Linked DNA regions of Macaca mulatta. The protein of the gene in region 7 interacts with the protein of the main gene of each other region in a biochemical or structural test. Links are inferred from orthologs where the notes say so. Each region holds a gene or a part of one and is shown on either strand. Other genes may lie near its edges.

Evidence for each region.
Region 1: of the proteins of ATM (region 7) and CREB1, one has a biochemical effect on the other in vitro, tested with the Homo sapiens proteins (2 studies listed by BioGRID). The link is inferred for Macaca mulatta from reciprocal best matches to the Homo sapiens genes ATM and CREB1.
Region 2: of the proteins of ATM (region 7) and CHEK1, one has a biochemical effect on the other in vitro, tested with the Homo sapiens proteins (2 studies listed by BioGRID, with this or other methods). The link is inferred for Macaca mulatta from reciprocal best matches to the Homo sapiens genes ATM and CHEK1.
Region 3: the proteins of ATM (region 7) and RPA1 form a complex in vitro, tested with the Homo sapiens proteins (3 studies listed by BioGRID, with this or other methods). The link is inferred for Macaca mulatta from reciprocal best matches to the Homo sapiens genes ATM and RPA1.
Region 4: of the proteins of ATM (region 7) and CHEK2, one has a biochemical effect on the other in vitro, tested with the Homo sapiens proteins (6 studies listed by BioGRID, with this or other methods). The link is inferred for Macaca mulatta from reciprocal best matches to the Homo sapiens genes ATM and CHEK2.
Region 5: the proteins of ATM (region 7) and SMC1A form a complex in vitro, tested with the Homo sapiens proteins (2 studies listed by BioGRID and IntAct, with this or other methods). The link is inferred for Macaca mulatta from reciprocal best matches to the Homo sapiens genes ATM and SMC1A.
Region 6: of the proteins of ATM (region 7) and EIF4EBP1, one has a biochemical effect on the other in vitro, tested with the Homo sapiens proteins (2 studies listed by BioGRID, with this or other methods). The link is inferred for Macaca mulatta from reciprocal best matches to the Homo sapiens genes ATM and EIF4EBP1.

What each region holds. Positions count from the first base shown.
Region 1 is NC_133417.1:112,842,871-112,846,370, reverse strand, and holds part of CREB1 (cyclic AMP-responsive element-binding protein 1), read right to left. Parts: coding exon 3,352-3,500; intron 1-3,351.
Region 2 is NC_133419.1:126,025,968-126,029,467, forward strand, and holds part of CHEK1 (serine/threonine-protein kinase Chk1), read left to right. Parts: intron 1-644; coding exon 645-749; intron 750-2,681; coding exon 2,682-2,777; intron 2,778-3,500. UniProt on the Homo sapiens protein: Serine/threonine-protein kinase which is required for checkpoint-mediated cell cycle arrest and activation of DNA repair in response to the presence of DNA damage or unreplicated DNA.
Region 3 is NC_133421.1:3,420,284-3,423,783, forward strand, and holds part of RPA1 (replication protein A 70 kDa DNA-binding subunit), read left to right. Parts: coding exon 1-25; intron 26-2,199; coding exon 2,200-2,268; intron 2,269-2,419; coding exon 2,420-2,612; intron 2,613-2,765; coding exon 2,766-2,905; intron 2,906-3,347; coding exon 3,348-3,496; intron 3,497-3,500. UniProt on the Homo sapiens protein: As part of the heterotrimeric replication protein A complex (RPA/RP-A), binds and stabilizes single-stranded DNA intermediates that form during DNA replication or upon DNA stress.
Region 4 is NC_133415.1:22,818,256-22,821,755, reverse strand, and holds part of CHEK2 (serine/threonine-protein kinase Chk2), read right to left. Parts: intron 2,368-3,500; 5' UTR 2,362-2,367; coding exon 2,043-2,361; intron 1-2,042. UniProt on the Homo sapiens protein: Serine/threonine-protein kinase which is required for checkpoint-mediated cell cycle arrest, activation of DNA repair and apoptosis in response to the presence of DNA double-strand breaks.
Region 5 is NC_133426.1:53,229,506-53,233,005, reverse strand, and holds part of SMC1A (structural maintenance of chromosomes protein 1A), read left to right. Parts: intron 1-1,799; coding exon 1,800-1,956; exon of another isoform or gene 1,957-2,006; intron 2,007-2,359; exon of another isoform or gene 2,360-2,394; coding exon 2,395-2,549; intron 2,550-2,671; coding exon 2,672-2,823; intron 2,824-3,500. UniProt on the Homo sapiens protein: Involved in chromosome cohesion during cell cycle and in DNA repair. Central component of cohesin complex. The cohesin complex is required for the cohesion of sister chromatids after DNA replication.
Region 6 is NC_133413.1:39,997,289-40,000,788, forward strand, and holds part of EIF4EBP1 (eukaryotic translation initiation factor 4E-binding protein 1), read left to right. Parts: intron 1-3,278; coding exon 3,279-3,458; intron 3,459-3,500. UniProt on the Homo sapiens protein: Repressor of translation initiation that regulates EIF4E activity by preventing its assembly into the eIF4F complex: hypophosphorylated form competes with EIF4G1/EIF4G3 and strongly binds to EIF4E, leading to repress translation.
Region 7 is NC_133419.1:109,179,055-109,182,554, forward strand, and holds part of ATM (serine-protein kinase ATM), read left to right. Parts: intron 1-186; coding exon 187-325; intron 326-1,303; coding exon 1,304-1,386; intron 1,387-2,385; coding exon 2,386-2,526; intron 2,527-3,255; coding exon 3,256-3,372; intron 3,373-3,500.

The DNA.
Region 1 (3,500 bases), on a different chromosome or scaffold from region 7:
TCAAGGAAAGCACTCCACATTCACCCCCTAAGGCTACATACACATCCCTAGCATACTGCCATGTGCTCTGGTTTGAGAGGCACAGCAGAAGATGGCTGCATACTGGAATCAGTGAAGTAGCATGTTTACAGCCTTTGGTGCCAGATATGGGTTCAAATTTCAGTTCTACTAATCTCATAAAGTGTGTGACTTTTGGCAATATATTTGATTTATCTCTGATATTTACCTTCTCCTCCTCTAAAGTGTGGATAAGCTTCTACCTCACTGTAGGTAGAATTAATAAAATAATATATACTGGGGCTTAATAAATAGCACTCGGCAGAAAGGTCAAAGCCAGAATATATAGAATTAGGAGGTATCAGCATATAAAGTAATGCCTGAAATACATGGATATGGATGAAGGTTCAAAGGAAAAATTTGAAAAGTAGTCAGAAAACCAGGTGAAGCCAGCCAAGGAAGAGTTTAGAGTAATGAGAAGTCGAAAGTGTCATACTCCATAGAGTTAAAATTAAATGAAAGAAAATACTAGATTTGCCAAGTGGGAGGGAATTTGTACCTTTTTATAGACATATGAGGGGTATGCTAGTCACAGAAGCCAGATTCCAGTGAATGGAGGCTGAAAAAGTAGAAGCAGCAGTAATCTGGTAAGGAAAGGGGAAAAGAACTATAGCAGAATCAATAGGAAGTTTCCTTTTTCAAGAGTAGGGTAACTACATCTAAGCGAAGTAATGTTATGAAAGAGTCCATGGTAAGTCTCAGGCAAGCAAAGGCTGGTAGCAACTGTAGTTACGTGTGGCCTGTTCCTAACTTGTTGGTGGCAGTGGTCCTAAATCTGAAAGAAAAATAAATAGAAGAAAAAGGAAATTTGGTCTGCCAGTCAACGCAGTGAAACTTTTTTTTTTTTTTTTTTTTTTTTTTGAGATGGAGTCTTGCTCTGTCGCCCAGGCTGGAGTGCAGGCGCCCGATCTCGGCTCACTGCAAGCTCTGCCTCCTGGGTTCACGCCATTCTCCTGCCTCAGCCTCCAGAGTAGCTGGGACTACAGGCGCCTGCCACCACGCCCGGCTAATTTTTTTGTATTTAGTAGAGATGGGGTTTCACCATGTTAGCTAGGATGGTCTCGATCTCCTGATCTTGTGATCCGCCCGCTTCGGCCTCCCAAAGTGCTGGGATTACAGGCGTGAGCCACTGCACCCGGCCAACGGGGGGAAACATTTTGTTCCACAGAGCCAAACTACATAGACATAAACAGAAGTCCTTCTGTTGTGTTTTATAATCAAAAGGATTTATTTTCTGATTTTGCTCCTATGTTTGCTTAGAACTGTTTTCTTTAGTAAGCAGTGTTGTCTTAAATATTACTACTCAGCCTTTGCTTGAGACTTCTTAATCAGACTTGCTTCTAATTTTAAGTTAAGAGTTTCCTTATAACCGGCCGGGCACGGTGGCTCAAGCCTGTAATCCCAGCACTTTGGGAGGCCGAGACGGGCGGATAACGAGGTCAGCAGATCGAGACCATCCGGGCTAACACGGTGAAACCCCGTCTCTACTAAAAATACAAAAAATTAGCCGGGCGAGGTGGCGGGCGCCTGTAGTCCCAGCTACTCGGGAGGCTGAGGCAGTGGAATGGCGTAAACCCGGGAGGCGGAGCTTGCAGCGAGCTGAGATCCGGCCACTGTACTCCAGCCTGGGTGACAGAGCGAGACTCCGTCTCAAAACAACAACAACAACAAAAAAGAGTTTCCTTATAAACATTTTTAAAAACTGAAAAGATTTTAATTTTTATTTACAGATTTTAATTTATATTTTAAAATATATTTAAATTATGAATGCAGCCTTTATGCTTCTGTTTAGTAAAACCTAAATACTCAAAATCACAGACGGATGGAACACAAATAAAAGTCACTTGAGGGCTGGGCACCATGGCTTATGCCTGTAATCCCAGCACTTTGGAAGGCTGAGAAGGGTGGATTCATGAGGTCAAGAGTTCAAGAGCAGCCTGGCCAAAATAGTGAAATCATGTCTCTACTAATACAAAAATTAGCCAGGCGTGGTGGTGGGCGCCTGTAATCCTAGCTATTCGGGAGGCTGAGGTAGGAGAACTGCTCGAACCCAGGAGGCAGAGGTTGTAGTGAGCTGAGATTGTGCCACTGTACTCCAGCCTGGGCGACAGAGCAAGATTGTCTCAGGAGGAAAAAAAAAAAAAAACAGTCACTTGGCTTGTTGTAACTCTTTTTCTAATATCAGAGAAAAATCTCTGCCAGACAGATTTTTCTCTGAGTTCAGATATAATTTACTAACATTGTGACAGCTAAGAATATTTTAGGAACAAAAAAGCTGATCTGAGCTGTAAGTGAAATTGCACACACACAGACACACACACACACCCATTTCAACAGAGCACTACAGTTACAAAGTGCTTTCAAAGGAATTATCTTACTTGACTCTTAAAACAATACTTGGGTGTGTGCTGGAATCCCATTTTGCAAACCTGAGGTATAGAAAGTTAATACTGTCTCCCAAAATGGAGGGACAGGGCTAGGACTTGGAAGCCCTGCTTCTTTCACTTTATCAGTGTTTGAAGTATCCTGGGATGAACAGTGAAATACTTTCATCAATTTCAAACTTTTTAAAACTTTACATACCCTATTTTCATTTTCTTCTGTTTGTCTCGGTCACTTCTATATGAAAGTTCTAAACTAATATTTAGTAACTTGTTTTTATTGTTTTTGATGGCAAAATCATTTATAGCAATGAAGTTACTTTCTGAGAACTGCTTTACCAACATTTCGTAGATTTTGAAGGTAGTAGTTTTTGAAGACTGTATTTTAAGATTTTTTTCCATAATGTGGTATTCTTAGAATATATTTTTGAAGAATCTTTAGGTGTTAAAATGTTATTATTTTGAGTAAAGATATTATTCATTAAAACATGAACTGGCCACCATACATTTACTTTGTATCAAGTAAATTTAATATAGATAAAATTTAACACACAGTTAATATACATATGTGAAACTCTTGATCTTCTTGAACAATACTATATATGAAAAGAAACCATTTTGAAATAACCTGGCAAGCTGGCTGGAGTGCAAACATAGGAAGGTTGTGCATTAAATCTCCTGTGGGGAAACTGCATGAAAGAAAACTACTCCATGATCAAAGATTGACCCATAATCCTATAGCTATCTTATAAATGCAGCTCATTAAATAAAGTTTACAAGATCCATTAATTCTGCTGGGAAAAAAAAAACCCAATGCAAAGATCCTATTACCAGTAGATGTAAAGATACACATCCAGTAGAAAGTGAAGACACACTTAACCCACAACAATCTAAGTAAATGCAGTATATGTACCTGTTCTTCATTAGACGAACCTCTCTCTTTCGTGCTGCTTCTTCAGCAGGCTGTGTAGGAAGTGCTGGGGAGGATGCCATAACAACTCCAGGGGCAATAGTGCTAGTGGGTGCTGTGCGAATCTGGTATGTCTGTACATCTCCAGAGGC
Region 2 (3,500 bases), about 17 Mb from region 7:
ATGCATAGTTACGAAATTTCACAACACTTATCTCTCCTATGAATCACGTAAACATTTTTGAAAACAAGACTAGGGCAAGAAGTGATTCATCTGTTTTTTTTTATTATTTTATTTTTTGAGACAAAGTCTTGCTCTGTCGCTCAGGCTGCCGTGCAGTGGTGTGATCTTGGCTCACTGCAGCCTTGACCTCTCAAGTTCAAGTGATCCTCTCACTTTAGCCTCCTCAGGAGCCAGGACTACAGAGGCACACCACCACGTCCAGCTACTTTTATTTATTTTTTTGTAGAAATGGGGTCTCACTATGTTTCCCAGGCTGGTCTCAAACTCCTGGGCTCAAGCAATCCTTCTGCCTCAGCCTCCCAAAGTGCTGTGATTACAGGCCTGAGCTACCAGGCCTGCTCTGATTCATCTATCTTTGAAGTGCCTCTAAAGTTTCTAAGTTGGGATTCTCTTTTTTTTTTTTTTTTTTTTTTTTGAGACAGAGTCTTGCTCTGTCACCCAGGCTGGAGTGCAGTAGCCAGGTTGGGATTCTTAGTTTGAAAACCATATTGAATTAATTCAAAGGAAACTTTTCATGGATTTATATTACCATTTTTCCTTGAAATCTGAACATTAAAAAAAACTGGGACTTGCTTTGTTTTTAGAATTGCCATGGGACCAACCCAGTGACAGCTGTCAGGAATATTCTGACTGGAAAGAAAAAAAAACATACCTCAACCCTTGGAAAAAAATCGATTCTGCTCCTCTAGGTAACGGATTATCTTGAGTGAAAGAGTACTGATTTCTTGAAGTCTTGTGCTATTTGAATTTTTTCTTATTTTTTTGTTTTAAACTTAGAAATAATTCATGAATCTTGTAGATAAATTGGTAACTATAAGTAAAAATTAAGGAAAAAATAACTCTTTCGTCCCAGAACTCTGCCATAGATTTTTAAAAATATTTTGGGGAGTGTATATTCAGAGCAACTTGAATCTGTGCTCTTAGGTGGCTTTTTACTTAAAAAAAAAAAAAAGTTTTCACATGTGCTATACTTTGTTACAAATAAACTCATTTGTTGCTTAATTATAGGGATGCACTCTAACAGTTGTTTCCTTAGGTGAGTTCATCATTGTGTGAACATCATAGAGTATACTTACATAAATCTAGATAGTACAGCTTACTATAAATCTAGCTATATGGTATAGCCTATTGGTCCCAGGCTGCAAACCTCTATAGCATGTTACTCTATTGAGTACTGTAAGGAATTGTAACATAATGGTATTTGTGTATCTAAATATAGGAAAAGTATAGTAAAAATACAGTGTTATAATCTAATGGGACTGTCTGTTATACATGTGGTCCATTCTTGACTGAAACATCATTCATGTGGCCCATGAGTATGTAAAATGAATATATGTATATTATTTATATGTGTTTTTATACAAAATGAGATCACACTAATATTTTGTAACTGCTTTTGGTTTTCATGTGCAGTGAACATTCTTCCATGACTATAATTGTAGGTCTACATCGTTGTTTTAAAGGCTGTGATGATATTCTGCCATGTGGATATGCCTTATGATACTCTTTTAATCACTTTGTTGGAGATTTTTCTAAATTTTCACAGATACAAAAGAGATATAAGTATCTGTGTAACTTAATCATGACGCATACCCTTAAATTGTTCATTGAAATCCCCAGAAGCAAAATTGCAGCATCAAAGATGTAGTTTTTATTATTATGGCTTATTTTGTCAAATTGCTTCCTGAAAGTTCGAACCATTTCATCACAGTCTCATCAATTTACATTAAAAAAAAAAAAAAAAAAAAAACTAACAGGCCTTTAAATGATAGTCTTTTATTTTTATTTTAAATTTAATACTAATGAAGTTGTATACACTTTATTTATATGTTAGTTTTTTGTCTATTTTGCTCATTTTTGTCAAGCATATTTTTCTTACCAGTTTGAAGTTTTTTGTTTTTTTTTTGTAACATATTGACCTTTGCACTTGTTACAAATACTTTTCACAGTTTATCATTTATTTTCATTTTGTTTTGCTATATTGACATTCAAATCTATTATCTTGTCCTTTGTGGTCCCTGACTATAATGTCTTTGGAAAGGTCTTCTACCTCTACTATTTAAAAGTTCCCTATTTTTTCATTTAATGGTTTTATGGCTTCATTTTTACATTTAAATCTTTGGTCCATTAGGAAATAATTTTGATGTAGGGAGATATATGAATTTTTTCTCAAGAAAATCAAGATACCTTAGGATGGTTAGATTACTGTCTCTTTAAAAGTTATTGGTAAGTAAATGTTCATTATAAAACTGAATAAGGGGGTCACGTGAGAACATGACATTGAAGTAATGAAATTCAGTATTGAAAATGGATATAAGGGGGTTTCTGTATCTTTTTGTTAATCTTGTCACATGAGGAGAAACATTTCCACCTGGCTCTTGTTCTCAGTTGCAAACATTTGAGAATCAGATCAAGGGAAGACTATTCCAAGATATAGACAGCAGCAGAGAAAAACCGCATGAAATTAAAGCAATAATTTAGTAGCTTTAATTCTTTCTCTTCCCCAGAAATAATATTTAGACATGAGTAGGCCAACAGAAAATGTGTTTCTTACCGCAAGCCATAGGCTTCTCGAATCTCCATGACGCTTTCATGAATGTTGTCTTAATGTTTGTTTTTAGCTCTGCTGCATAAAATCCTAGTTGAGAATCCATCAGCAAGAATTACCATTCCAGACATCAAAAAAGATAGATGGTACAACAAACCCCTCAAGAAAGGTAATATCCTTAAACTACATGTTTGTTTTTCTGTGGAAGAAAAGGTAATTGCAAAGTCATTATCACAAATCAACAACACATGATGGCTATGATCTCTGTCCTCATGGAGATTATAATGTCTACTAGGAAAAAAATATAAAAATAATTTTATTAATAATTATAAAAGGGAAAGTCAGGGTACTATAGCTAAGTGTTTGACCAAGTCTAAGGGACAGGGAAGACTTCTTCCTGAAGAAATTACATTAAATCTAAGATTTGAAGATTAAAGGGAAGCTAGCCAGGCAAAGTAAGTGGCAGATTTGATTCTGAACAGGGGAAGCAGTATTTGAAAACTCTTAGGTTTTTGAAAGTCTGATGCATTTGAGAAACTTGAAAGATCAGTATGGCACGAGCCATGTCTGCTGTGTTCATCATTGCATCGTCAGTGCTTAGCACAGTATATGGTGCACCATAGGCACTCATTAAATATTTGTTGAGTGAATGAGTGAACAGGGAAGTGGGAGAGGAAGAGAGGTGTGAGATGAGGACAGAGAGGTCACTAGTGGCCCGTTTGTGGAAGAAGACCTCGTAAGCCATGTTAAGGATTTGGGGCTTTAACTTAAGACCACTGGGGAGACCTTTGGGAGATTTTAAGCAAGAATATGACATAGTCATATCTTTGGTTTAAAAATATCTCTCTGACGACCTTCCCCCCCGCCTCCATTGTTTTTTATGAATAGGGAA
Region 3 (3,500 bases), on a different chromosome or scaffold from region 7:
CTCTCTAGAACTGGTTGATGAAAGTGTGAGTATTTGTCACGTGGGGAAGTAAGTAGTAGACTCACTGAGAAACAAAAAGCTCAGCTCTGCGGGCCTATGAGGTGAAAAATAATAGTAGGCCAGAGACAAGCATGATTGTTATTGTGCTTTTCCCTCTGTCTTTTGATGCTGTCTGGAGTAGAGGGTTAAGGTCATAAATAAAATCTTTGATCTCAAGTACAGTGTTTGTAGCAGTAGAAAGTAGTTTTCTAAATGTGTAAGTAGCCCCATGGGCAGGAGGGACTGGAGACCATCTGATTTGCTGGCAGGTGCAGTCAGAGCACTGGGAGGTGATGCCTGCTTGTGAGCACAGTGCAGCTTTGGGCCACCGCAGAAGGCACACAGTTGTGCCCTTGGTACAGAAATGGTTTTGTGGGAAATGGGCTCTGACTGTGCACATTCTTTATTTGCTTTATTTAAACTAAACCAAACCATGACAATGAGACAAAATTCCTATCCCATGGAAGCATGACAGTCTTGATAGCTGTTCATCTATTAGTTTTATTAATAATTCCTGCAATTGCCGGGCATGGTGGCTCACGCCTGTAATTCCAGCACTTTGGGAGGCCAAGATGGGCAGATCACTTGAGGTCAGGAGTTTGAGACCAGCCTGGCTAACATAGTGAAACCCCGTTTATACTAAAAATACAAAAATTAGCCAGGTGTGGTGGCAGGTGCCTGTAGTCCTAGCTACTTGGGAGGCTGAGGCAGGAGAATCGCTTGAACCCAGGAGGCAGAGGTTGCAGCCAGCCAAGATTGCACCACTGCACTCTAGCCTGGGCGATAGAGCAAGACTCCATCTAAATAATAATAATAATAATAATAGTAATAATAATAATTCCTAAAATGTACTTCAGCCTTCTTTTCAAACTGCTGCAGATTTCCTGTTGGTTCAAACTCCCAAAGGGGGAGAAAAAAAAGTAGATGTCTTTTTTTTTTTTTTTTTTTTTTCTGGAAGTTAACACCCAGAATGTTTGACTGTGTGATGGCAGAATCAATATTAGAACCTAATTTTTTTTTTTTTTTTTTTTTTTTTTTTTTTTTTTTACAAAGTATTGCTCCAATGTGTGGTGGGTTGGCTAAAATTTCTTGTCCACCTGTAGCATTCTGGCTGACAGAAAAGCAAAAGTGAAAATCAGATCACAAGCAACTTGAAAACATGACTTATTCTGACATTTTTGGCAATGGCCCCGAATGTGAAGTGGTTTGTCACCGAGAGGGCAGCTGAAGGGAGCTGGTGAATCACCCCCGTGCAGCACCTTCCTCGTGGGCTCCGGGCGTGTCCCTCAGTATTCAGCTGTTTTTGGTTTTTATTGTCAGAATAAATTAAACTCGTCGTTGCCCTTTTGTGCTGTTGTGTTTCTCAGTTGAGGCTAATGCAGCATGATTATGGGATCAGCTAGTTGAAATTCTCATTCTTCAGCGGGGCCAGTGACTTGAATGTGTGACTGTAAAATGCGGGTTCCTGGGATGTCCGTAGTCCTCTCTGGGCCCCGTTTGTGTGTGTGCCCCTGCTCTCAGATGTCACTTGGTGCTGGGGTGGCCTGTGTTCGATCCCAGTGTCACTTGGTGCTGGGGTGGCCTGTGTTCGATCCCAGTGTCACTTGGTGCTGGGGTGGCCTGTGCTCAGTCCCAGTGTCACTTGGTGCTGGGGTGGCCTGTGTTCGATCCCAGTGTCACTTGGTGCTGGGGTGGCCTGTTTTCAGTCCCAGTGTCACTTGGTGCTGGGGTGGCCTGTGTTCGATCCCAGTGTCACTTGGTGCTGGGGTGGCCTGTTTTCAGTCCCAGTGTCACTTGGTGCTGGGGTGGCCTGTGCTCAGTCCCAGTGTCACTTGGTGCTGGGGTGGCCTGTGTTCGATCCCAGTGTCACTTGGTGCTGGGGTGGCCTGTGTTCAGTCCCAGTGTCACTTGGTGCTGGGGTGGCCTGTGTTCAATCCCAGTGTCACTTGGTGCGGGGGTGGCCTGTGCTCAGTCCCAGTGTCACTTTGGTGCTGGGGTGGCCTGTGCTCAGTCCCAGTGTCACTTGATGCTGGGGTGGCCTGTGTTCGATCCCAGTGTCACTTGGTGCTGGGGTGGCCTGTGCTCAGTCCCAGTGTCTCTTGGTGCTGGGGTGGCCTGTGCTCAGTCCCGCAGCCCTAACCTGCCCACTTGCTTCTGCAGGGTGAAATCAGAGCTACAGCTTTCAACGAGCAAGTGGACAAGTTCTTTCCCCTTATTGAAGTGAACAAGGTATGGCTGTGCTGACTTGAGAACTGACACGCCCCGGGGTGGAGGCGGATGAGAAGACTCTGGCCCAGGGGAGGGGTGTGTGGTGACAGACCAGGGGTTTCTGTCCAATATGATGGCAGTCTCAAATTCTGTGACGTGGCCTCCTGCGCAGGTGTATTATTTCTCGAAAGGCACTCTGAAGATTGCTAACAAACAGTTCACAGCTGTTAAAAATGACTACGAGATGACCTTCAATAACGAGACTTCCGTCATGCCCTGTGAAGACGACCGTCATTTACCTACGGTTCAGTTTGATTTCACGGGGATCGATGACCTCGAGAGCAAGTCGAAAGACTCACTCGTAGGTAAGCTCATGCATGGGACGGAGGAGCAGGGAGGACTCGCTTTCTTTGCACCGTACGGGGCGGTGTCAGGACTTCAGTGCTTGCCCTTCACCCTTTGCTGGCGTCAGAGTGGGAGCCTTGAACGCCTCCTGCTCACACGCGCCTGTGTTTTAGACATCATCGGGATCTGCAAGAGCTACGAAGATGCCACTAAAATCACAGTGAGGTCTAACAACAGAGAGGTTGCCAAGAGGAATATCTACCTGATGGACACATCTGGGAAGGTGGTGACTGCCACGCTGTGGGGGGAAGATGTAAGTGCTAGGATGGGGCGGTCAGCACACACAGGAGGAGCTCCTGGGGTGGAGGCGGTCTTGTCCTGTAGGATGGGGTCTTCAGCACACACAGGAGAAGCTCCTCGTGGGGGCGATTTTGTCCTATGAGTTGGGAGCTTTCACCGTGTAGATGGGAAGGGTTGTGCTGTCTGGCAAATACTTGAAATCCTTTATCCTCCGTGAGATTTGCTGTGATTCAAGCTTTACGTGGGGAAACGCTCTTTCCCCCGACTCGAGGAAAGCGGTGATAGTTTCGATGTGTCTCTGAGCAGATTCTCGTGTGTGAGGTCTGTCTTGTATAAGATTCCGTGTACACTGATTACATTCACTCTACTATTGACTGTTTGCCTTGTTTCCTATAAAAACCGTCTCTGTTCTTCCTGCCAGTGACACTTGTCTATGTCTGGTGTTTCTTTTACAGGCTGATAAATTTGATGGTTCTAGACAGCCCGTGTTGGCCATCAAAGGAGCCAGAGTCTCTGATTTCGGTGGACGGAGCCTCTCCGTGCTGTCTTCAAGCACTATCATTGCGAATCCTGACATCCCGGAGGCCTATAAGCTCCGTGGTTGGTAA
Region 4 (3,500 bases), on a different chromosome or scaffold from region 7:
TTTCTCCATGTTAGTTAGGCTGGTCTCAAACTCCCCATCGCAGGTGATTCGCCCGTCTCGGCCTCCCAAAGTGCTGGGATTGTAGGCGTGAGCCAACACGCCTGGCCTAATTTTTGTATTTTTAATAGAGACAGGGTTTCCCCATGTTGGCCAGGCTAGTCTTGAACTCCTGACCCCAAGTGATCCCGCCCACCTTGGTCTCTCAACGTGCTGGGATTACAGTCATGAGCCACCATGCCTGGCCTGAAAAAATATATTTTAAATGGGTAAAAAATAGCTTCGAGTGTCTACTTATAAATTTAAAGTTGTATATGTAGAATGCAGGTGTATTGTTTCTCCATTTTTTACAGTTTTTTCAAGACATCAAAGTTAGACATGAAATAAAACAAGGATGGTGAGTGACAAAACACAAAATGATATACCAGTCCTTCATTTCTTTATATTAATATATTCTACCCTATTAATGCCAAGTTCAAATGTGTTTAGTAAAGAGGTCATTGTAATGTAAGAGAAAAGAAAAAAAAAAACACTATTTTTTTTTACTGGAGTGCAGTGGCACAATCCTGGCTCATTGCAACCTCTGCCTCCCAGGTTCAAGCAATTCTCATGTCTTATCCTCCTGAGTAGCTGGGATTGCAGGCATGCACCACCACACCTGGCTAATTTTTGTATTTTCAGTAGAGACAGGGTTTTGCCATGTTGCCCAAGCTGGTTTTGAACTCCTGGCCTCAAGTGATCCTCCTGCCTTGGCCTCCCAAAGTAGTGGGATTACAGGCATAAGCCACCACGCCTGGCAATTTTAAAATACACACATGTGTATTTTAAACATACGCATAGCGAAACTTACTATTGGAACCAGGAGGTGTCAGAAAGGGTCAACATATTTAAATCACAAGGTTGACTATTTTGAGACAAAAACAAATAACAAGTAGTCAACAAATAGCCATCTCTATTCTGAACAGCTCTGATTCTCTGAAGCTGTGGCAAACCACAGCAGAGGTTAACTGGTGAAGCTTTTGTGATTAGGGGATAATGTTTGCAAGTTTGCATGAATCTGCATTTTTCTAGGAAGAGGGTCCAAAGCTACCTTCAGATCCTTGGATGGACAGCACATTGTAAATATCCAATTAATATTTGTTGAAAGAATAAATGAACGGAATCCACAGCTGGTAACAGCCAATGCAACACCCAACACTGCCTCTTTGGTTTTACCTTTTATCACCTTCAAACTCCAGAATCATTCTAAGGTGGCTCAAGCACTCTGCTGCAACTAACTAAGGCAGGAAAATAGGGTCTGAAGGCAGGGAATCTAAGGCCGATTCACACAAACTTCCTGGAGCAGCCAGGCATGGTGGCTCATGCCTGTAATCCCAGCACTTTGGGAGGCCGAGGCAGGCAGATCACTTGAGGTCAGAAGTTCAAGATCAGCCTGGCCAACATGGTGAAACCCCATCTCTACTAAAAATACAAAAATTAGCCAAGTGCCGTGGTATGCATTTGTAATCCCAACTACTCAGGAAGCTGAGATAGGAGAATCGTTTGAACCCAGGAGTCAGAGGTTGCAGTGAGCCTAGCCGAGATTTCTCAAAAAAAAAAAAAAAAGAATTTGCACTCTGGCCTATGATTTGTCCATTCTAGGACCTTCATTTGCATAAGGCGCCAATCCCCACCAGTCTTGGAATGGTCGAGGTCCAGTTCACTGTGGCCTCTAATGGGCTGTGAGCCAGCCCTTCATCTACATAGGAGGTAACCAATGGGAGACCTCTAGAGGGTACTTGAACCCCAGAAGACTTTGCTACCAGGGCTCTGCAGCCACTTGCTCAGGCCTGCTCCTATCCTGCGACATGTACTTTAGCTTCTATTGCCTTCCACTTCAATAAATCTATGCTTTCATTGCTTGTTCATGCATGATGTTCAATTATTTGTTCAACGTGCCAAAAACCTGGACAACTCACAATCAGAACCTTCCACCCGGTAACACAACAACTTTCTGTAACTGTTTTTCTGAACAAAACATGATACTATATAACAAAGGGTCTTACCAAGATTGGCAAATCCATCCTGAAGGGCCCATAATCGAGCCCAGGGGGCAGGGGCAGGCTCCTCAGGTTCTTGGTCCTCAGGTTCTTGGTCCTCAGGAATAGAATAGAGTTCCTGAGTGGACACTGTCTCTAAGGAGCTCAGTGTCCCAGAGCTGGAGTGAGAGGACTGGCTGGAGTTTGGCATTGTGCTGGTAGAGGAGCTGGATATGCCCTGGGACTGTGAGGAGGAACCCTGGGACTGGGTAACGCTGCCATGAGGCTGTGAACAGGTACTGCTGCCATGGGACTGCTGAGCCTCAACATCCGACTCCCGAGACATCACGACCTCAAAAAGAAAGTGTCCAACAACAAAGGTGAGTTTCGAGGCACAAGACTTTAAAAAGTAAACAATGGGCCTATTACAACAGCAACGGGAAAGAAAAGAAAAGAAAAGAAAAGAAAAGAAAAGAAAAGAAAAGAACCCAGGGCTAACATGCTCTCCAAAAATTAAAAGTCCTAACAGCCCAGACCTACAGTTCTGGGCTGAGCTTTTCACCAGATCATTGTCACCGGATCAGTTTTTTGTCTGACAGCCATAAACTACAAGGAAAAAACAAATTATCTGAAGATTATGAATAAGTAAAAAGCAATAAAATTGAGCTGGGGGGGCTCATAAAAGCTCACATTTGTCCAATTATTTTAAATTAAGACTGAAACCAAAAATGTATTGATACAATCAATACTACATTTAAATTTCACGTATAGTGGGGGCCAGGCATGGGGCCTTACACCTGTAATCCCACCACATTGGGAGGCCAAGACGGGCAGATCATGAGGTCAGGAGTTCAAGACCAGCCTGGCCAACATAGTGAAATTCCATCTCTACTAAAAATACAAAAAATTAGCCGGGCGTGGTGGCAGGCACCTGTAGTTCCAGCTAATCAGGAGGCTGAAGCAGGAGAATTGCTTGAGCCCAGCAGGTGGAGGTTGCAGTAAGCTGAGGTCACGCCACTGCACCCCAGCCTGGGTGACAGGAGTGAAACCCTGTCTCAAAAAAATAAATTAATGAAATAAATAAAATTTAAAAATAAAATAGGTCAGGTGCAGTGACTCACAACTGTAAACAATACTTTGGGTGGCGAAGGTAGAAGGATTGCTTGAGGGCAGGTGTTTGAGACCCCACCTCTACGAAAAATAATAATAATCTTTGTGTTAGATAATTTAGCCCAACTGCAGCCTGATATAAGTGTTCTGAGCATGTTTAAAGGAGGCTAGGCTAAACTATGATGTTTGGTATGTTAGGTATATTGAATGTATTTTCAATTTAACAATATTTTCAACTTAGAATGGGTTTATTTAGACATAACGCCATTGAAAGTTGAGGAGCATCTGTGTATTTTGAAAAGAGAAAGAAGACAAAGGATCAGGTGGCTTGGAATAGAAGTCAAAAAGAAATTGTACAATAACCTGCTGCATTAT
Region 5 (3,500 bases), on a different chromosome or scaffold from region 7:
AGTGAACTTTATGTGGCATCCCTCCAGGAGGTACATCATGTCAGGATGTGCCCACTATTAGTGATACTGAGTTTGATCCCTCAGTTAAAGTGTCAGTTGCTAGGTTTTTCAACGCTAAATGTACACTTTTGCCTTTGTCATTAATTAGTAATCTTTAGAGTGATGCTTTGGCATTTTGTGAATATCTTGTTCCCCAAAAATTTTTTACCCAGTGGTTTTCACATTTTGATTAAATTTGTTTTAATAGTTATATATAACATCTTTATGTGTTTCTAAAACCAAAAGTATAAAACAAGGTACATGAAGAGAATTCTTGCTTCCATTCCTGTCCCTTTCACCTCTCTTTCTCGATAGATAACCCTTTAATTAGTTTTTGGATTATTCTTTTTGTTGTTGTTATATGTTTAAAATACAAATATATTTGTATTCCCTCTACCTTCACTTAAATAAGAGATAGCGTACACTATTGTGTAGCTTTCATATTTGACTTAAAAACCTATCCTGGGGCCGGGCACGGTGGCCCGTGCCGGTAATCCCAAGCACTTTGGGAGGCCGAGGCGGGCAGATCACGAGGTCAGGAGGTTGAGACCATCCTGGCTAACATGGTGAAACCCTGTCTCTACTAAAAATACAAAAAAAAATTAGCCAGGCGTGGTGGCGGGCACCTGTGGTCCCAGCTACTTGGGAGGAGTTAGCCAGGCATGGTGGTGTGTGTCCGTAGTCCCAGCTACTTGGGAGGATCACTTGAGCCTGGGAGGTAGAGCTTGCAATGACCAGAGATCATGCCATTGCACTCCAGCCTGGGTAATAGAGCGAGACTCTGTCTCCAAAAAAAAAAAAAGTGTATTCCTTTTCTCTGTCTTCACTTGTTCATCCTGTAGTCCTTAGCTTAAACATATTCCTGGAAGCCTACCTTAATTTTTATCACCCGATGAGGTAACCAACCAGAACGCCTCAATGCAGGTCACATATTTCTTATTCTATATACTAGTGGGATCCTTCCCTCTACTTATTATACTTATTTATACCTAAAATACCCTAGGCTCACTAAACATAATAGTACTAACATTCACCACTCAAGAACTATCAGTCTCCTGATCTCTGAGTTAGGTGTCTTTCTTGTGAGCTGATTCAACATTGCCTGCTTATCATTGTTTTCACATTCATCCTACAGTATTCTGGTTGTTTACTTATCTGCATTCCTCTGTTAGACCCCTGAGCTCTGTGAGCACAGAAACCAGGGCTCACAGGACAGGATGGCCCCAGTGCCTGGCACTTGGTAGGCAATCAGTAAATATTTATTGACTGAAAGTGGCAGAAAGGCACAAGCCCAGACATGCATTGCAATATCCATAAGAACTAAAACTAAACTCAAATGGAATTTGCTCAAATGTAGTGATCTAAGCAGAAAACGTGAATTGCCTTACTTATTGTGGAGCTGTAAGTGGAGTCCAGAGCAGCCAGCGTGGGAGCCTCCAGGTCACCCTGGGGTGGTACTGGCTCATGGCTTGGGCTGAGAGCCAGAGAGGGGCACCACCAACTGCTCCTCCTGAGAGACAAAGAGGTCGGCAGGGCCTGGGGGAAGGGCTAGAGATTAGAAAGCAGCCTCAGCCTATAATTTCCAGAGATGGTGGAAATGGTTACTATGGGTAGGATCTGATGGAAGGAACCAAGCTGGAGAAGAAGAACCTGCCCTCCATATAGGAGCAGGCACCCAGGCCACACTCGGTCATCTCTCGGTGGGGGCCTGGGCACAGGGGCCAGGCCCTTCTTGATGTTGCTGGGCCTGGGGCTTACAGGATGCCCAGGCTGAGGAAGAGATCAAGCAAGAGATGAACACACTGCAGCAGAAGCTGAATGAGCAGCAGAGTGTGCTTCAGCGTATTGCCGCCCCCAACATGAAGGCCATGGAAAAGCTGGAAAGTGTCCGAGACAAGTTCCAGGAGACCTCAGATGGTAAGATTTACCCTTCTACTTGGGCCTATGATAAGGACAAGAGGCTAAAGGTATGCCACGGGCCTGCTGTACATCACAGCAGTTCCTGTTCTGACATGCTTTCTTACTTAAAACTCCCAGGAGCCCTAAACAGTAGGGGTTATTACACCTGCTTTATAGAACAGAAAATTGCTGAGGTTCCCAGAGGGTAAATGACCTGTTCAAGGTCACGTAGCTGGTTGCTGGTAGAACACAGGGAGGAATCCATATTTGTGTGGCTGCAGGCCCCTGTTTCTTCCTCTGCATTGTATCCAGTGGCCAGTCCACTGGATACAGATCCTTCTGGGACCCTCCTCAGGCATTCCTCTCTCTCTTGGTGGGATGTCCCTGCTCTGGATTGTCATTTGCAGGTCCTTCTTGCCAGGGCACTGAGGGGTCACCTGTCTTTCTTTCTGGCAGAGTTTGAAGCAGCCCGAAAGCGAGCAAAGAAGGCCAAGCAGGCATTCGAACAGATCAAGAAGGAGCGCTTTGACCGCTTCAATGCTTGTTTTGAATCTGTGGCTACCAACATTGATGAGATCTATAAAGCCCTGTCCCGCAATAGCAGTGCCCAGGTAGGCTGGAGCCCCTTACCCAACCAGCTGCTACCATCCTCAGTTATCTTTCCCTCTAGGCTTCCTGTCCCTATCTCCATCCAGACTCAGATACAGATCCTGACCCATCTGCCTTTCCCTAGGCATTCCTGGGCCCTGAGAACCCTGAAGAGCCCTACTTGGATGGCATCAACTACAACTGTGTGGCTCCTGGGAAACGCTTCCGGCCTATGGACAACTTATCAGGCGGGGAGAAGACAGTGGCAGCTCTGGCCCTGCTCTTTGCCATCCACAGGTAAGGCTGATCCCCTAGGTCAGTTGACGAAGACTGAACTGAGGCCACCAGAGGCTCTGGGGCCCAAGGATACACAGAGATCTGCAAAGGTGAAGATAGTTTGGTGGAATCTGGATTGCATCCCTGTTTCACTATCTACTGCAGCGTATCTGGCTTTGGTTTTTCTGGACCTGTCTTCCCCATCCACCCTCATCCGCTCAGCATGCCCTCACCGGCCTCTGCATGTATTCAGTCCCACCTCCAGGCTTTTGCTCACAAGGTTGCTGGCTAATAATCCCTTTCCATGTAAATCTAGGTTGATCATCACCTTTCACCCCTTCACCCTTTCTCATTCTCCTCCCCTTCCTTTAGGAAGCCCTCCTTGATCACTGTGTCATACCCTGACCTTCCCCTCCTGAATGCCAGTACTTGAGTCTGACTCCTGCAGCTTATATTGCTTGATTGTACAGCATCAATTTCTTGAGTGCTGCTCTGTACCAGACCCTGCGGAGGGATTAGGTACACAGATGTATCAGACAGGGTCTCCGGCCTCGAGGAGCTCACAGTCTAGCAGAAGCCAGACGCATAAACAGACATGTGCTAAGTGTTGTAACCGGGTGAGCATGGGTGCGATGGATACACAGAGGAGGTACACTTAACCCAGTCTGTGGGGAGGGTGTGGGTAAGCCAGGGAAGAC
Region 6 (3,500 bases), on a different chromosome or scaffold from region 7:
GTAAACAAACCAACAAGAACAAAAAAAGTGTGGCTCATGCCTGAAACCCCAGCACTTCGGGAGGCTGAGGCCGGTGGATCACTTGAGGTCAGGAGTTCAAGACCAGCTTGGCCAACATGGTGAAACCCCATCTCTACCAAAAAATACAAAAATTAGCCGGGCGTGATAGCACATGCCTGTTGTCCCAGCCACCGGGGAGACTGAGGCGGGAGGATTGCTAGAACCCAGGAGGCTGAGATTGCAGTAAGCCAAGATCATGCCACTGCATTCCAGCCTGGGTGACAGAGCAAGACTCCATCTCAAAACAAACAAAACAAAAAGCAAAGTTGGGGAGAAACAAAAAGGGGGGGACTCTTGCCGAGTCTCAAAGATTAAGAAACAACAGAAAAAAAGTGGTCCCATCTGGAGCCAGGATGTCCAGCCATGTGTCCACTGAGTCCCCACCCCGCTGCCTGGACCCTGTGGTCTCTGGGCTTCCCTCCCCTCTGGGGAGGGGAGATTGTACAACCTCAAGCCTTGCAGAGTGGAGCAATGCCACATCTGGCTTCTAGAACCAAAACAAATCTGGGTCACTTTTAAAAAAAGAGAGTTAGAAATTGGTCTTCCCAGGCCGGGCGCGGTGGCTCAAGCCTGTAATCCCAGCACTTTGGGAGGCCGAGACGGGCGGATCACGAGGTCAGGATATCGAGACCATCCTGGCTAACACAGTGAAACACCGTCTCTACTAAAAATACAAAAACTTAGCCGGGCGAGGTGGCAGGCGCCTGTAGTCCCAGCTACTCGGGAGGCTGAGGCAGGAGAATGGCATAAACCCGGGAGGCGGAGCTTGCAGTGAGCTGAGATCCGGCCACTGCACTCCAGCCTGGGTGACAGAGCGAGACTCCGTCTCAAAAAAAAAAAAAAAAAAAAAAAAAAGAAATTGGTCTTCCCTTACCTCCCCTCACTGTTGCCCTGGCCCTGCAAAAAGAGGGCACCACCGCCCTCCATTTGTAATCTATTGGGCTCATAGCCACTCAGACCTAGAAGGTGTATGGGTCTTTATTTTACAGATGAGGAGACGGAGGCCCAAAGCAGGGAGTGCAAGGAGCAGCGCGCATAGGGTCACACAGCTGACTGGGAATGGAGCCCAAATGCACCCTGGTTCTTTCCTTTACACCCCTCCTCCTAAGAAACAGCTCTGTGCTGGAGTCCCACAGGCAATGAGCAGGGCTGTCAGCTTCAGCATCGCTGCCTCTCCTGCAAGGGGACAGGAGAGTAAGACAAGTGACTGCCTGGAGGGGCTGCAGCCAGACTAGAGGAACACGGCCAGCAGGTGAAGTTTCTCTTTAGGTATCTCTCTACATTCCTCTGCCCTTCAGCATCTCAGGTCCGCCTCAGCACAGAGCCCCGTTTCGTGAACTCGCACTTAGTCTCCAAGATGGAAATTCGTGCCTTTCAGGAGTTTACAGAGAGTCCAGTGCTGAGGATCAAGAAATGAATTTCAATATGTACAACTATTATGGATCCATAAAAATTAAAAATGAAAAAAGTAAAATAAAGCGTAAGAAATGAATCTCAGCTGTTGGAATGCCACTCATCATAGCCCCTAAGTGAGGGAGAGATTTCAAGGTTATTGCTAAGGAAGGGCATTCCTGAAGTCCTTAAATCATGATTCCCAAACTTGGGTTATTCATATTTTATCTGCACAATTATTACTATACCTTGCATTCCACTTGTACAGATGTTTAACATTTCTTTATATCACCTTAGCTTTTGAATTTAGCTTACATTATTTTATTATAGAATCTACAATATAGTATTATATTATTTGTACATTAAAAGGAATTGCTATCACTACTATATGTGGAACACCAGATTCACTTGCCATAAATAGAAGGTAGCTATAAAAAGATACAAAGGGGCTGGGCACGGTGGCTCACGCCTGTAATCCTAGCACTTTGGGAGGCCAAGGTGGGCAGATCATGAGGTCAAGAATTTGAGACCAACCTGGCCAACATGGTGAAACCCCGTCTCTACTAAAGATACAAAAAATTAGCTGGGCGTGGTGGCACACGCCTATAATCCCAGCTACTTGGGCGGGTGGGGTAGGAGAATTCCAAAGTCAGTGACACACTGGCAGGACACACTGGGGACCTCACAAAGGAGAGAGGCTCAGCAAGAGAGCCTTTGGGGGCAAGGAGAGCCCACCCTTCACTCCTGCCTCTGGCTCTTCTCTGCAAAGCCCAGGCATTTCTCTTTTTTTTTTTTTTTTTTGACATAGGGTCTCACTGCAGCCTGGACCTCCTGGGCTCAAGCAATCCTCCCGCCTCAGCTTCCCGAGTAGCTGGGACTACAGGCACGTACCATCATGCCCAGCTCATTTTAACTTTTTTGTAGAGATGAGGTCTGTCTAAGTTGTCCAGGCTGGTCTCAAGCTCCTGGGCTCAAGCGGTCCTCCCACCTTGGCCTCCCAAAGTGCTGGGATTACAGATATGAGCTACCACACCCGGCAAAAGTTACTATTTTTACTACTCTGGTTGAATCACTTAATTTTCTGTTTGGTCATTTGTAAAATGCGGCTATTCTGGTTATCCCACAGGAGTGCTGTAAGGACAGGACTGAATAATGAATAGAAATGCATTTTTTCCACCATGGTATGTGATTGTCATGGGTAGTTAACACTGAGCCCTGGTAGGTGAGTGAGCTGAGGGGCTTTAGGGACAGAGCACAGTGTGCACAGAGCCCTGGGAAGACACAGGTGCAGTCGGTGGCCTGCAGACCCCTTCCATTAGATCATTCCATGTGAAGGGGAGTCAGGGCCATTTGGAGGTAACGGAGTTCTGAGTGGCAGCCAGACCCCCAAATAAGCCTCATTGATCTGGCTTTTTTTTTTTTTTTTTATGAAAAGGAGTCTCGTTCTGTTACCCAGGCTGCTGTACAGTGGTGCAATCAGCTCACTGCAACCTCTGCCTCCCAGGTTCAAGTGATTCTCCTGCCCCAGCCTCCTGAGTAGCTGGCGTTACAGGCTTCCGCCACCACGTTGGCCAATTTTTGTATTTTTAGTAGAGACGGGGTTTCACCATGTAGACCAGGCTGTTCTCAAACTCCTGACCTCAGGTGATCCGCCCACGTTGGTCTCCCAAAGTGCCGGGATTACAGGCATGAGCCACCGCACCCGGCCTCCTCTGGGTTTTTCAGGAGAATCTGCTGCCTCTACTGCAGCCACACCTTTAAAAATTGGAAAAACCAGCAGGCAAGAGGTTGCAGGTGGCTTGACCAACCTCCCTGTGCCCTTCTAGGTACCAGGATCATTTATGACCGGAAATTCCTGATGGAGTGTCGGAACTCACCTGTGACCAAAACACCCCCGAAGGATCTGCCTGCCATTCCCGGGGTCACCAGCCCTTCCAGTGATGAGCCCCCCACGGAAGCCAGCCAGAGCCACCTGCGTAATAGCCCAGAAGATAAGCGGGCAGGCGGTGAGTGTTGGGGCTTGGCCAGGCTCTACCTTGGGAAAGGGA
Region 7 (3,500 bases):
TGATATTGCATTGGTATGTATTTTTGATGTATTTCATTTATGACTGTTTTGTTTGTATCTGAGGAATTATAATCATTCCATTGTCTAGATTTGTGCATAAATTCTGTTTTTGTTTTTCTAACTCTGAGAAGTTTAAATGTTGGGTAGTTCCTTATGTAATGTTTTTTGTTTGTTTTTTATTAATAGGATCGAACAGAGGCTGCAAACAGAATAATATGTACTATCAGAAGTAGGAGACCTCAGATGGTCAGAAGTGTTGAGGCACTTTGTGATGCTTATATTATATTAGCAAACTTAGATGCCACTCAGTGGAAGACTCAGAGAAGTATGTGTTTCAAAGAAGGAACATTACTTTCTTGCTATGTTACTCTCTGTAGACATATATTAATTATAGAGCCTAATAAGTAAATCTGCTTAAAATCACAAACGTAATCCAAAAGCTTAATTTATATCTGATAGCTTCAACATTCCCTGGTTGCTTTTTCACTTAATATCTCTTGGTAGAACTGATAATAGGTGACTACACTAAATTAATTATTTGATTTCTTCTGATAATCTTCTGGCATACTTATTACGGAGAATTGCATAGAGGCAAGTCTATTCAAATAATTGAATAACTGAACATTTCTAGAGTCAAAAGTTTTTTTAAATGATGTGGTTACTAAAACTGTGCCCTAGGACTTAAAAACAAAAAGCCTTTACCATTTCTACCATAGGTGCTAAAATGCTATTATTTAATTATTCTTCTTACTGTGTCAGTTCAGATAATTATAAGCTGCTATAATCTTTGGTTTTGTGACTAGTCTCTAAGTATGCTTCTAAGTATCTCCCCATACTTTAATAATTGCATTTTTTTTTCTATTCAGAATCATATCTTCAAGTTTAAATTCTTATTACTTTAAAACACGAATGGGGCTTCACATACTGTTTCTCTAAGCAAACAAAAAGTATTGACATGTCTTTTAGTTGCATTTAATAGTGATGTGACAGGAGTATGTTATCTATGTACTATGCAAACTATTACGTAAGTATTTTAAGATGCTTAGTCTGGTTCCTCAGGTGGAATCTGGTCTAGTTACTCCTGTCAGGTAACCTGCAAATTTACTTAAAGCTACATTAGCCACTGTTGAGCTTTGACCCTGAGCCGCACAGTGGCCAAAGCCTAGAGTCTTCATTTCTCAATCACAGCCTGAACCACAGATTAGCAACAAGTTGGGGCCAGTGGTATCTGCTGACTATTCCTGCTTGACCTTCAGTGCTGTTCCTCAGTTTATTACTAAAATCTCTCCATTTTTCAATACAGAAGGCATAAATATTCCAGCAGACCAGCCAATTACTAAACTTAAGAATTTAGAAGATGTTGTTGTCCCTACTATGGAAATTAAGGTAATTTATAATTAACTCTTGATTTTTTTTTAAACTAAATTTTTTTTTATTAGATTGAACCATTTGAAATAGTATTTTTATGTAAGTCAGAATTGGTTAAATATTGGCAAATTTCATGTGTTTCAACCTATAATTTCTCAGTATTATAATTTCCTTTGCCCAAGCCCTAAAATACTCAAAAGCTTCTCTTGCTTTCTTTTCCGTTGCCTTCAGTTCTGCACCTCCCATCTTTCTTATGAAGGTCTATAGACTGTTACTTTCATTGGCCAGAAGGAGAGTTTCTGTGTGCTTATGCCAAGATTAATTTTTGACTTGGCAAGGAAGGTTCCAATTGTCATATATTGTTCTTAAAAATTCTATGTGCAATAAAATGTATTGGCTGTGATATATCACAGTATTAAGTAATATAGTACCTATTATTATAATATTAAGTTGACTTCATATGCATAATACACTTAGCTGTGTTCTGATGTTCTTTCATTGCAAGAAATAATGGAAGTAATTTCATGTGGGCAGGGATATATGTAATAATAAGTGTTATAAGTTTAGAAAATGATCATCTTAAATACATTGTCTTTTCATTTTGCAGTTTAGTGCTTAGTATCTAGTTACTTGATTTGAAATGTAGCTGTATCATGTGGATTGACTGCTATTTTTCTAGCTATATCAGCTAAGTGATTTAGCTGAATATTTCCTTAAAATGCCAGATTTAGCAGTTACAACCCAGAAAACTCCTACTCTTTTCCAAAATTTACTTTATGTTTTTGTGATGAGTTATTTCTCAGATGACTTTAGGTATATTAGTGAATCTCTGATTAAACAGTAGTTAAAGTTACAGGCGAGAGCCACCATACCCATCCTATAGTTGCAGTTCTTAACCAATATCACATTGTCATTTGTTCCTCTGTTTAATATTAAAATTGCCATTTATAATGTATTTTTCTTTAAGTGCAAATAGTGTATCTGACCTATTATCAATCATGTTTATGCTTTTATTAGGTGGACCACACAGGAGAATACGGAAATCTCGTGACTATACAGTCATTTAAAGCAGAATTTCGCTTAGCAGGAGGTGTAAATTTACCAAAAATAATAGATTGTGTAGGTTCTGATGGCAAGGAGAGGAGACAGCTTGTTAAGGTGAGCCATCCCTTCTCTGGCTTAGCCCTTAGAGTTTTAATGATGAAAAATTTTAGTTGATTACTTCTTTCTGATTTATTTGGGTTTTTGTCTTTATTTTGAATAATTGCAAATGAGGAAGATTTGTAGAGTAGAAATGCATTACTTTCTAGAACAAGGCTTTTCTCCATTTTTTTTTTGTGTGTGTGTGTGTCTCTGAAAGACCATCATTATTATATGGTTGATTCAAGTAAAAGATTACCATTAAGATGTACAGACATGTACAGTGAGCTTGCTTCTTGTGAAAAAAATACTTTGGTGTCTGTCTCTTATCTCCTTGAATAGTACAAGTTGACGTCCTTTGTGTCAGTATACTGGGTCTGGTACTGTTCCAAGGGCTATTTAATGTACCAAAAAGGGAGAGCATTCTTCCTTTGCCATTTGCTCATGAGCTCTTTGGGTCCTACTGGGGAGTGGTGGAAAGACACAGTGCTGTTTTACTCAGGTGTTTGCAGTATGCCTTCCTATGGGGGACTTCCAGTTAATCTAATTACAGAAGTAGCGAGGGTAAATGTTGTAGCTTATTCTAAATGAAAGAATGGCAGTAGATCTTTAATTATTTGGGAGACTGTCAAGAGGTGCACAGATGCTCAGATTTGTTTCTGAGTGCCCTTTGCTATTCTCAGATGGCTCTGTGTTTTTATAATAAAATAAACTGTACTTGTTTATTCATGTTTAATTATTCTGAAGGGCCGTGATGACCTGAGACAAGATGCTGTCATGCAACAGGTCTTCCAGATGTGTAATACATTACTGCAGAGAAACACTGAAACTAGGAAGAGGAAATTAACTATCTGTACTTATAAGGTAACTATTTGTACTTCTGTTATTTCACTAGAAACATATAAAAGATGCCATTTGGCTGGGTGAAGTGGCTCATGCCTATATTCCTAATGCTTTGGGAGGCCAAGGTGGGAGGATCGCTTGAGGCCAGG